Linked DNA regions of Drosophila melanogaster. The protein of the gene in region 1 interacts with the protein of each later gene in a pairwise test. Each region holds a gene or a part of one and is shown on either strand. Other genes may lie near its edges.

Evidence for each region. The genes of interacting proteins can lie anywhere in the genome.
Region 2: the proteins of CG13377 (region 1) and Jupiter interact in a two-hybrid assay, tested with the Drosophila melanogaster proteins (one large-scale study listed by BioGRID).

The regions. Positions count from the first base shown.
Region 1 is NC_004354.4:257,981-265,785, forward strand, and holds CG13377 (uncharacterized protein), read right to left. Parts: upstream 6,020-7,805; 5' UTR 5,882-6,019; exon of another isoform or gene 5,688-5,881; intron 1,711-5,687; exon of another isoform or gene 1,692-1,710; 5' UTR 1,682-1,691; coding exon 913-1,681; exon of another isoform or gene 849-912; coding exon 625-848; 3' UTR 355-624; downstream 1-354. Other genes in the region: cin (cinnamon), read left to right, coding at 2-100, 162-305.
Region 2 is NT_033777.3:11,601,717-11,606,430, forward strand, and holds the start of Jupiter (jupiter), read right to left. Parts: upstream 3,039-4,714; 5' UTR 2,870-3,038; intron 2,568-2,869; 5' UTR 2,488-2,567; coding exon 2,426-2,487; intron 1-2,425. UniProt on the Drosophila melanogaster protein: Binds to all microtubule populations.

The sequences.
Region 1 (7,805 bases):
GTTGCTTAATGACTTCAGCTTAGATAGCCGCCCGGAGTTCGTTCGGGCCTCCGTGATTTCGAAGTCTGGAGAGTTATACGCGAGCGTCAATGGAAATCAAGTAAGCCACTTTTCCTTAAATTAAACGACATATTATGACGGTTTTCCTGCGATTATTCTAGATTAGTAGTCGCTTGCAGAGCATTGTTGGTGCCGATGTTTTAATAAACCTTCCTGCACGTACTTCTGATCGACCATTGGCGAAAGCTGGTGAAATTTTCCCGGCCTCCGTGTTGCGCTTTGACTTTATCTCGAAGTACGAATAAGAACTACACAAACGTAAAATGTAAAACAAAGGTATAAATTCCAGAAGTTGGACAGACATATATAGACAGCACATATATTATCTTTATTTTTTTATGTATGATAACATTAAATATAACGTTCAACAATTACACCGTTAGCAGTGTGAGCAAAAACGATTAAAAAGTAAATATTATAAAAGCCCTCAGAACAGAAAAAAGAAACATCAATCGAAATATATTGTAAAAATATTAAATTAGGGAAAGGAGCAGGATCAGACGCGTTATACTAAATGGGATCAGGATCAGGAGCATATGTACAGGAAATGGAAGAAGACAAATTTTAAACCGACTGACTGGCGCTCTCGCCGACTGTTGAAGCTACCGGCCTCTGAAGTCGCAGCGAGGAGCGACATGGCAACGCAAATTGGTATTTGTTATGACTTAGAAGCGCATATCGCTGCTGCGGAACATAGTCCCACAACGCCCGCTCGATCACATGAAGAGCGTCCGGACTGAGCACGTCCGCTGTATACTGCGTAGGAGCCCCAACGACCAAGGACATGGCTGAAATAAATTACAAACATAAAATTATATATAATTGATTCCCAACGATGATGGAAAACATTACTTTGTGCCACTGGTGCCTTGTACAATGACTCCGCCGTCATGCCGCATGTATCCAAAGCGACCACACTGACGCCATAGGGATGCAGCTCCTTGCGCAGCTCTTCGGCACACTTGTCTACGGCAACGCGTGAGGCGTTAAAGGCAACCAGTCCATCACCTTCGTTTCGAGCATTTCCACCTCCACTTACTCCTCCCAAGTAAAGGAGTCTTCCACGTGTCGGACGGAGAAAACACACAAAGGCCTTGGCCACACGTAAGGTGCCCAGGATGTTGGTTCTGAGCATGTGTTCCCACTGCTGGACATTCTGCGATTCAACCTGGCCTCGGAAAACACTGCCACTAGTGTTAATTACGGCCGCAATACCGCGCTCATCTGCATTTAGATTAGCGCCTATAATAACGGTGGCCTCGCGAAGCACATCCTCTCGGGTGACATCCAATCTCATCGGAATAATTGTGCCTGCAATGGGTTCCTCACTGTACTCTCGGATCTTCATCCAACCGCAAAGAAGTTTGGCGGGTAGCGAATCTTGGGCCTCTTTCATTCCAGCAAAAACCCGATAACCCTTGTTAGCCAAATGGGTGCACAATTGAAGACCCAATGCGGTATCCGCACTGGTTATCAGGACCACCCGACTGGGATGACTATCCGCATTGGCAGATGCGCTATCCTCGCGCACCTTACAAATCAGGTAGATAAGCAGCGCGCCGGCGATCGAAAAAAGCGCAAGCAACTGGAAGCCCAACACCAGCATGGTCATTGCCTCCATTATGACATCGCTGGAATAGCAGAAAAAAGGTGAGATTAAAGGTGAACAATGTGGTAGAACTGAAAATGTAATTTGTTTTATACTGACTACAGATGATCTTTCTTACATTTACTCAGTCGGCAATCTTCATAAAAATATTTAAACCTAGCAAGAGTTTAACGTTATAGTGCATTTAATTGGTACATTTTAGAGGATTTGATTATATAGCCGAATTAAAAAAAGAAAGAAATTGTATATAAATAGCAAATAGTTAAGCAATCTGAAGTGCTATACAGTTGCAAATGTAACACGAACCTCAAAAGCTTTGGGGCATTATCGTAAAATGTTTAAGGTGTTCGGTTTTTACAACTGATGTTTCATTCGATGCGTTTTGAGCAAGATGTCAATGACATTTATCCCTACGACCTCGAACAGCTCTTATTATATATTAATATATATAATAAATTTTAGAATTTTTAATTTCACTTTCTCCTGAAGTCTTAATATGCAATCCTTTTTAGTTCTGCGGTGTCTCGTAGTGACCGAAGAATCGCAGTAGACTTGATGCAATATAATAATAAACAATAAGCAATATATAATAAACCCAATGCGTTTTAAACCTCTAAGAATATATATGAGATTGGGTATTTAAATATTAAGAACTTTATAAATGTTTTTTAATGAAACTATGTCTGGATCTAATCGACACTTTTTCATTTAGGCGAGAAGTTTAATAACCTTTTAGAGTTCGGTAACCAGAGATTGAATTTATATAGTCTGGGTATATTAAGATGTTAGGAAATTAAACATCAAGAAGTTTATAAAGGTTTGATAACGAAAATGTGTGTAACACGTATATATTTACTTTATTGGACACTTTCTCTTCCAAACGAGGAGTTTAATCACCCTCTAGAGTTGGGTAACCTGAGATTGCACTTGCAGTATATGAAGTGGATATACATACACGTATACATATGCATGTACATCTCAGTCTGACTCTTGAGCCTCAAATAACAACTTTACGCTTGTCTTGCACTATTTCCTCTCTTTTTATTTGTAATTATTTAATTATTGCACATTTTTCAACGCGTGTACAAAAATTCGGCCGATCTCTTGAAGAAATCGAAAATGTTCCAAGTGGGGTAACGGCATATAGATACATAGCTATCCAAGTATTTTTGGATCCATGGACACGTCAAACGAACGTGTCCAGCGAGGCGTACCCAACCATTTGGAAGTAAGCTATGACTACGTTTTCTCGACTTTCCACTTCTGATGAGGAAAATGAAGGAAGGATGGGGTCTGGTATGTGCGTTTTACAGACAGGGGATGAACCGAACTGAGAGTTTGTGCCCATACTACTCTAGTTGAAGAGCTATGACAAGTCTTTTTAACCCAATTACACAGCAAATAAATAGTTCCAGTCGGTATCAGTTTACGCCGCTTGAAGTTTTGATATTTGATTTTTGATCATTATTAAAAAAAATTTATTGGTGATCAAATAATTCTTCGAGGTAAATTATGAAAATTAAAGGCATAATGACAGTTTTATCTTTTGCTTGAACTAGCTGTTAAATTTACATACTCTGACTGCTTCACCGTTTTCCTTCATTGTTAAGCTGAAAGAAATTTGTTGACGCTCGGAAATGGGCTTGCCATATCTGCAGCATTTCGGGCTTACTCGCGGAATTTATGTGTAGGATAAACGTAATGTACGCTGATTTTGGTCAAACTACCGATACAGTGATACTGCAACCGCAACCGGCTAGGTAATAAAACAAACAAACGGCTTAAAAAACAAAAGCATTATGGCAATCAAACAATACGAGGAAATTGGAAAAACTTAGTGAGAAGATTTAACGAATTTAATTTATTTAATTTTTAGTTAAGAATTATATTTACAAGATTTCGTATCTGAGCTAAGATGTGAAGTACATTACTTTCATTGTTCTATATACATATTGTATGAATCTATCGTGTTTGGCCACGATTTAACATACCCACTGCAATGAATTAAAAATCTTTGCAAGACTTTTCTTTTTAGTTCTTTGTTTTTGATTAAGTTTACGGCGTTGCCATTCTATTGAAGTTCACAACCAGCACTTTTTTATTATATTCCGCTTGTTTTCAAGTTCAGATGTAAGATAGTGGCGATTGTTGATGTTGCTATTCCCCATTAAGATTAGATCATCGGCTTCCAGTCAAGTGAGCTAAGCACGGGCGTGATGGCACTTTACTCCGAGAATTTGGGATCGGATGACATCATTATTGCGACCCATCAATATGTGGTTACATTTCGTGGGAGTAGTAAAAGGAAACCTATAAATGATAATCTACCATCGCTTTCGACCGAATTGTTCCCTTGGCTAGGATAAAATGAGTTCAATCAAAGGGTTTCTATGCAAGGAAGAAAGTATTTGATGATAACGTATAAAGTATGTATAGATAATTTTTGTTAGCATGACAATTCCAGTTTATATAGCTTTGTGTATAAGTCTTTCTTTTTAAAGATATTTCATTTTTATATCTTGCAAATATTTATATCTTGCTACGACGAGGTTGTGTAAAAAGTTGTTTCGATGTATAAAACCTTTGTATTTTTGTTTGCAAACCAATTATTGATTCATAAGCAAATTCGGATATCGTGTGTGTGTCATGTATAATTGCACTTTATTTTAAATTTAGATGTCTACTCTTGTTGGCCCAAAAATCGAAAATAAAATCTTAAAAAATGCTTTGCGTTGCAGCTGAACAACTTCACGCTCCATTCAGCATTAAAATTGCTTTGTGCCACTTTCAAAGCTATTTCTATTTCAACAAAGTCAATTGCTTCTCTGAAATGTTTTTTTTTTTTATTATTTCTTATTTTCTATTTGCAACCATTTGGAATGCCTTCTATGCACTTTTAAGCTTTTTTCTTGTTGGAAACATACACGAAATCAGATGGGACTTAATCAATTGATGCTTAAGGGCTTACACGTATATAACTGTAAACATCTTTGTTTCTGCGGGAAGGCCCCAAAAGTCAAGGATATCTTACATCAAATGGATAGGCACAGAACGGTTGGAAACGATAATAAAATAGAGACAGACAGATTAACAAATTCTGCTGACTTAACCATCAGTGGCAGTCAATTCGAAAAAATAAAAAAAAAGTTCAGTGTAATCGCGAACATTTAGGACGTTGTCATCAAACTTTCCTTTCCTAGTGTTTCCACTTTATAATTGAGGTTTTTTGATGGTTGATCTGCGTATGCTTCGGGAATTTTAATCATATGTCTCTGTTTGGACATGCCTAATAATTTTTTGTTGCGTATACGCCGTTTCCATGCAACTGACAAAGAATCCACAACGAAATATCTATACACTTTCGAAAAATATTTTTATTATATAGAAATATATCTGCATTTGCTTTGCAGTCATGGCACTCGTCTATAGCCTGTGTTTTCATTTTTTTTTTTTTTTATGTCAGAAGAGTGTGGTGTTGAACATAATTTTGGTCGAATTTAGTTAATGGTTTACCTTTATCATATCTGTACTGTTAAATCTGTTTAAAAACAAGCTCTGAAATAGAGTTAAAAATACTTAAGAAAACGGGCTCTGAACCAAAGAAACACATTCTCAAAAAGCGTAGCAACGGTTAATTTTTTTCGGTACTCAGTTAATAAATGCATCCAAATTTAAAAGTGAACCTGTCTGAATCTTAAATGATTTGAGCAACAGGATCAACAATCTTGTGTGCGAGCTTGTGGAAGAGCTATTCCAGAACCGGTTTCCCCATATCAGAACTTGTTGCTTTTTGCATTCAAGCCATTGCTTGCCATGATTTAATAATTATATCTGGCGCATTATTGTTTCTGTTGCCAAGATAAAATCGGAATGCAAAGCTAAACACGCTTTAGCTAGTGTGGAAAAATCTGCAGTTGAAGCCAAGATAAAATCGGAATACAAAGCGGGGAATGTGGGGGATCGTGCCGTCGTCATTCGAAGGCCCAGCTTTTGGCCCTAAGACACGTTTGGAGCTCACCTTTTGGAATGTGTCTAATTAAAGTTAAAACCTGGTTGGCTAAAAGAATTACACTTAGACAAAACTTTATTATAGAAACAAAAAAAAAAAAAAAAGTATATTTTCCAACGCGACGCGAATATATACTTGATAATTCACTTTAAATTCACTATAATGTCTTGAATTTTGTTTTTTGATTTATTTATTTTACACACAGTCTGCCAGGCCCAGGCCTGATTGAGTGCGACAGAGAGAGAGTTATGCTACTTATTATTTGTTGTTTTCAACTCTCGAGTCTGCGATATTTTTCCGCACTGCGACTTTATTGACTGAGTTTGAACTGAAGACTGGTGGCTTGAATTTCGGGTTTGCTTAACCGAACAAAAATAGCCGAAGACCAGGCGTCGTAGACGAAGTCTTTCGGCCCCATCACGTAGAGTCGTGCCCCCCACCTTTTGTAAAGGCCTTCTTTAAAACTCGCTTTGTGATCGTGTGTTAGGTGAACAAATGTCAAGCGATAGCTGGTGATCCTTAACTGGTTTTAAAGTTTTTGGGGTCCGGAGACATGAATATGAATAATCTTCCCGAACCACTATATTACATACCACATTTTGAAGGCTCACAACCTGTCCAGTGCCTGACAAATATGGGTGCCTTTTTTAGCGCACAATAACTTTTACGAATGTAAGAGTATCATGATTCCGGCGATTAAGTCCCTTGTGGAAATATTGAAATTTCGCTGGTAATTGCAGTGTTAAGTGCCAAATGGTTGAGCTGGATATATGAATATAGACTGGAAGCAAAATCGGCCGAGTTTTTCCGCTCAATTTTGCACTAAGGAAAACCTGAAACACAAGAAAAATTGCCAGCTTGAAAGAAAAGGGGGTAAGAAGCGGTTTGGTTCCAACTGCAATTGGCCAAGTCGACCGAAAACCTGTTGATGGTTTAAGAGAAATATCAATTAAAGCCTATACAGAACATGTACAAGAAGCGAAAATTGAGGCAGCCAATATTATTTTGTTGATGAAAAGGTAAACATTCGGTGCGTTTAGTGAATTTCTCTCTGAAATTTTGGTCAGTAAAAGGAGTTACCATATTGGTTCAACGCTTAAGAAAAAACGCGAAACGAGTTTTTCCAGTAGAAGTCGGTGGAATCTGGCTCTTCTGCCGCCGTTCGCTTAAAGACAAAGTGTCAAAAATTATATAAAGTTTAGCCTATCCACTTTTTAAATTAAAAAGGCTTTACTTGCTTTACGCGTTTCTCGACACCCGTTAGCTTGGCACCTGTTTTGGAATGTCATCCTTTGGTAGTTTCTATTTTTCACAGATCTTAGTTTGTATTCGAAAAACATAAAATAGGTATGGGGACAGTTAGCTAGTTTTATAAACAGCAGTCTTCAAAATACCTGTGATACAATTTTTTGTCGCAGCTATGGAGACAACATTTTTATCTTGCTCTTTTTTTTTGGCAAACAACAATCTGTAGTCCTAATTTTGCCGGTGAATCTTTTTTGGCCAAGTTATGAAAAAAAAACCCGTTTGTAAATATCCGATTTTTGCAAATTTTTATTTTGTTTATTTTTGGCAATTTTTATTTTGTTTATTTTTGGTAAAAAGTAATCAGTATTTTCTCAATAGCATTAAAAACAGCTGTCAAAGAGTTAAATGTCAACCTCATTGAATTCGTAGCAAAATTCCCTATCGTCCTGTATGAAGAAATAAAAATTAATTTTTTTTTTCCCATTTTTCGCAAATTTTAATGATAGGGATAGTTAGCTATGTTTATTGGCAGTACGAAATAGTATTTATTTAAGCGGTTATATCTTATAATAGCTGTCCAAGAGTTTAATAATATAATAATAATGAAAATAGTGATAGGGATAGTTAGCTATGTTTATTGGCAGTACGAAACAGACTGCATATTAGCGGTGATATCTGTTTTGGCCATGTTATGAACTAACCCCTGATAAATCTATAAAAATAGTTGTCTAACATTTGAATACATAACTTGCTTAATTTTATAGTAAATTCACTATTCACCTGTATTCAACAGAAAATGTTTCCATACAGAATGTACAGAATGAAAAACTTACAATTTCTCCTCTATGTTGTTTTCAAAAGTTTTGCCAAAAAATACAA
Region 2 (4,714 bases), on another chromosome or scaffold:
GTCATGGCTTTGCCGAAGAAAGGAGAACACACACACACACACACGGCAGACAAAACGCTGCATCGAAATGCAGAGGAAAAGTATATTAATCATTTTCCCCCCAGCCGCCGGCGGGAAAGTCCAAGGCGGTATGTTACACAATCGCAATCAATGACAATGATTAACACATTTTCCACACTTTATCCCCAGCAGCCAGCCACCCATCGATGGACCATAAAATCCAGCAAATTGTTTATAATGCACATGGCACACATAAGGAAAATTGTTTCTATTTGGTTTCTGCCGCGACCAAAACTAATCTCCGATCCCAACGGCCGCGAAGAGAGGCGGGGTTCAATGTCCGCCACGGACCAGCGGACGACGGACAACGGACAAACGGACAGTTGAACGGACGGACGGACAGACGGTCGGAACAGCGGACAGGGAAGCGGACTTGGACACGAATTCAAACTCGGAACAGGTACGAGAGCGTAAGAGTGGTATACGGAATAGACATAAGCGAAAAACATTTCGATAACGATTTTGTTGTTGTTTCCCCACTCGAAAGGCGAAAAATGGGTGGTGCTGGGCACATGGGGCTTGGTCAAAGAATTGCATGCAAAAACAAATGCCGAAACTAACTGAAAAAGAAAGGCGGGCCATAGTTGAGAGAAGTCGATGGGGGAAATACCCTCGTCGTACAAGCGGCGATAAACGGTAATAATATAATGATTTATTTTTAGCGGTAATAGGACGTGATTGTTCAATAATAAACATTTTATTATATTTCGTATCATTTGGATAATGGGCGAATCTAATCAGTTTTTATGTTTAACAAATCTGTTTGATTGCCGAAAAGTGAGTTGAAGCTAAAATTGAATTTTCATAATAACTGCATAACCAATGTTTTTAGTACACCATAGGCGGCTATTATGGATTTTAGTATGCCATAAAAAATCATAAGCTTCATAACTGTAAAAATGCCATTCTACACTTTGAACTTTCAAAGTCTATGTACTAATAAAACAAGTTTTAATAAACTAAAAATAGTTTAATAAAGCCACCATTTTTTTTTATGCAAAGACTGACAGAGCGGTTTGGCAGTTACTCCTTGAAATTAAATGAAACACAGATGAAGCCGAGAAATCACTTTTGCTTAGATGTGCAAACATTATTATTATTAGTAGTAGTGTCACGTCAAATAGTATATTTCGTTAACACCTCGTAATTAAAATTGCGCATTGTTTTGATGGCACGAAAAGAGATTGTCATACGCCTCGGAGCAAGAAAGGGTATATTCCCAAAGAACGCCGGTCGGTCCCTTTGACTTTGGTGCGGTAGCATCGAGTGGACGACTGCAGTGGTGGTGTCGCGGGTGGTGCTTTGTGCGGTGGGTTGGCGTGGGGCAGGTGGCCGTTGGGTTGGCAAAGGAAAATCAATGAGACGACATCCAAAGACATGCCAACACCGGCGGCTTGGCTTGGCTTGGCTTTGCTGGGTGGTGGTGGTTCACTTGCTAGGTGGTTTCGGTTTTGTGGGAAGTAGGCGCTTGCAAAAGTGGTGCTCCCCAGATTACACATACGCCCCGTGCACACGCGACTGTATGGGTAGTATTAGTTAGTCAGTCAGTCAGGCGGCGGCGAGGTGAATGAACGCTAAATTAATCTACACACATAACCAAATGAATATGTAAGTGTGCGGTGTTTGTGCGGCCCGACAGCTCAGACAATGGGATAAAGATGGAAATGGAGATGTTGATGCAGATCACGATGAGGCTGCTGCCTTCCGAAATGTTTGCCAATCAAAGTTCACTCGAGCGATGGCAAACAATAACAGAATGTGCAGTAGGCACGTAACAGTTGTTAAACTTCAGGGAAAATGAGTCGGTCGGCGAATAACCTCAATATAAGTCAAACACATTGAGTAACATCGTGTAAGTTACGTTATTATGATACACAGATTTTTAAACAAATACAGAATATATTGATTGTCCTAGCTGTAATGATTTACATGAGAACATTATTTGTTAATAAAGAACCTACTAATCATTGTTCGTCATTGTCAAAACAATATTCCTTCAATTCTTTGCAGCTTGTCATAATTAGTGAGACTCATTTTGAATAAATATTGATAATATATCTATTTACTGAAATTACCAGCCATATGATTCTCTTTGTGCGTCATGGTGATTTATACCCTTTTAAAACCTCAGAAGATGGTTTTTGACAAAAGCATTATTAACAAAGGCCACTTTTTGTACTCGTATTAAACGACTTTTCTTGCATGGGGACATGCATTGACAAAAACTGATGAACTCCCTTTTCCGTGTAAAAATGTGTAATAAATCCGGACAACGAATTTATCGATTCATTTTTTGACATGCAAATTCTTTGTTCTGAAGTCTTTAAAAATGTCACTTTAACTGTATCCTTTAGGAATTTCTTACCTCTTCTTTGCTTTGCCAACATTGTAAAGCTCAACGTGTTTGAAAGCAGCGTAGGCGGCCATTTCTGTTTCTATTTGTTTGGCGAAAGGATAATCTCTCTGTTGAATGGATGCAATTGCTTTACTTTTCGCACTGGAAAAATCTAAGCGCACGCGGATGTGGGGGAAAACGGAGATTAGGCACGTGGGGGAAAATGTTGCAGGACGAATGATGATGACTCATAGATGGGGATGCTGCATGTGCGTAAAATCAATAAACCCTACTCAACTGCGAGAGAATGCAAGGAGCATCCCGGGAGAGAACGGACAAGAGATATGCGGAGAGGGGGGTGCAGTAAGAGCGGACAGAAAACGGACGAAATTCCTTTAGTTGGATAAGCCAGGATATCTTGCAACGTTTTCCCAACCAACTACCGAAAAAATTCCCAAAAAACACTTCACTCACAAAGAAAGCTAAAAAACTTTTGATTTGCACTCGCGTGGGTTTTTTTCGATTCGAAGGATATTTTGTTGGGATAGCAATATATATATATATATATATATATGCAATATGTTTGAGTGTGCGACCGCTGGTGATGTGCACGTTTCGATAAATGTCTGGCGACTAAAGTGCAGTGGGAAAAGTGAAAAGCATTTTATACCACGGCAGCGCGAGAAGTTTTATCGATCCAAAAACAACGACCGAAACCCAACTCACTCAGAGCGCAAAAGCTGCACGGGAAGAGAGCGGGAGCGCAAGAGAGTGAGTGCCCGCCATGTGGCGCATCAAAACAAAAACAAACTACAGCTGATGCTGATTAGAGTTGGAGCCCGCTCTCTTCCATGCTCTCTCCCTCTCTCTATCTCTCACTTGTGGGGCAGAACCCAACTCGTGGTGAGTTCTTCACTCCGCTTGTAGGTCACAAAAAAGTTTAAAATACGCCAGGAACTGAAGCGAAAATAAAACATATACTTAAGCCGTGTTTAAGACACTTGCGGGATTAACATTCTGCATTTATTTATCTCATTTTATGTGCCCCACCGGCGAGAAGTGTGCGCAGATATGCTTCAGTTATGCCGTGCCATTGCAAAAAGCGCTAGAAAAGCGAAAAAATAGTAATAGTTCAGGTCTAGTGCACTTCAGGGTTCCTATGCAATTGTTTCTTTTCTCAGCTTCTTCTGCTTGATCTTCTTCGTTTTTTAAAACTAGTTTCTCTTAAAAAAATCAAGTGCATTCAAAGTTTTAAACCCAAATGTACCCATAGCAAAAATCAAATTTATACTTTATTGAATGATTGCAAAAAATACACAATTCACTAAAATTCAACTACCAGGCTTATAAACCCAAACCTTATTATAATCTAAATCCAAGCTCTACAAACAAATCGCAGTTGAATGCCGAAAGAAAGGCTCATATCTATTTCAGTTTGTACTAAAACATTATGAACTTAGCCCCCCCCATTTCCAACACGCTTCTTATCTTTGATTACAGGGTGTGGACAGCACAGCTGCAAGGCGGTAGCAGCCCACAAACATGTTTCCTGGCCAAGATGAAGCTGCTGCCAGGCCAGACATCGGGTCTCGTGTCTACGAGGAGCTGAGGAACATTGCTTTGCCGGACATAAATCACTTTCATCATCGCCAAGCGTTCAGTTCGGTTGGGGCCAACAGCAGCAGCAGTAGCAGTAGTTGCAAACTCTAATTTCAAGTGTCTTGCCACTAATGAGGCCGCCCCTTTTGCCCCTTTTCCTGTATTTGCCACACTTGCTGCTGCTTTGCTGCTGCTGCAGCAAGAATTTAAATGCAATATGTATTTGCATACTGCGTTTTCTTGGAAAACATTTGGCACAGATTTGCACACAGAACAGGAAGCGCAAGCTAGCGACTAAGAGGATCGGGCCATGGAGCCACAAAGTCGGCGGGAAAATGAGGAGAGGGTAGGGGTGTGTTGGAAGCAGCTGGGCCAAAACAGTGGTTATTTTTAGCTTGCGAAGACACTTTTGTTTAGCCGAGCCAAAAGTTGACTGGCCGTGTCGTCGCCGCAGCCGCTGCTTCTTGCCGTTTTGCTATTTTACCATCGGTGGGTCGTGGGACTAGCTACCCACTGAGCGGTGCACGGGTTGCCAGAGGTGGTGCGGGCATTCGGCGGAGTGGTGCACATGCGGCAACCTGACACCAACATGCCACTTGCCCCCTTTTGCCGGTCGCTGTGCGCAAGTAAAAGCCTAGGCGTTATGTACTTGCCCCAGAGTTGACAGTTCAGCTAGTTTCCCATCAACTCACAGTTTATTCAAATTGTTACTGCGAGAAA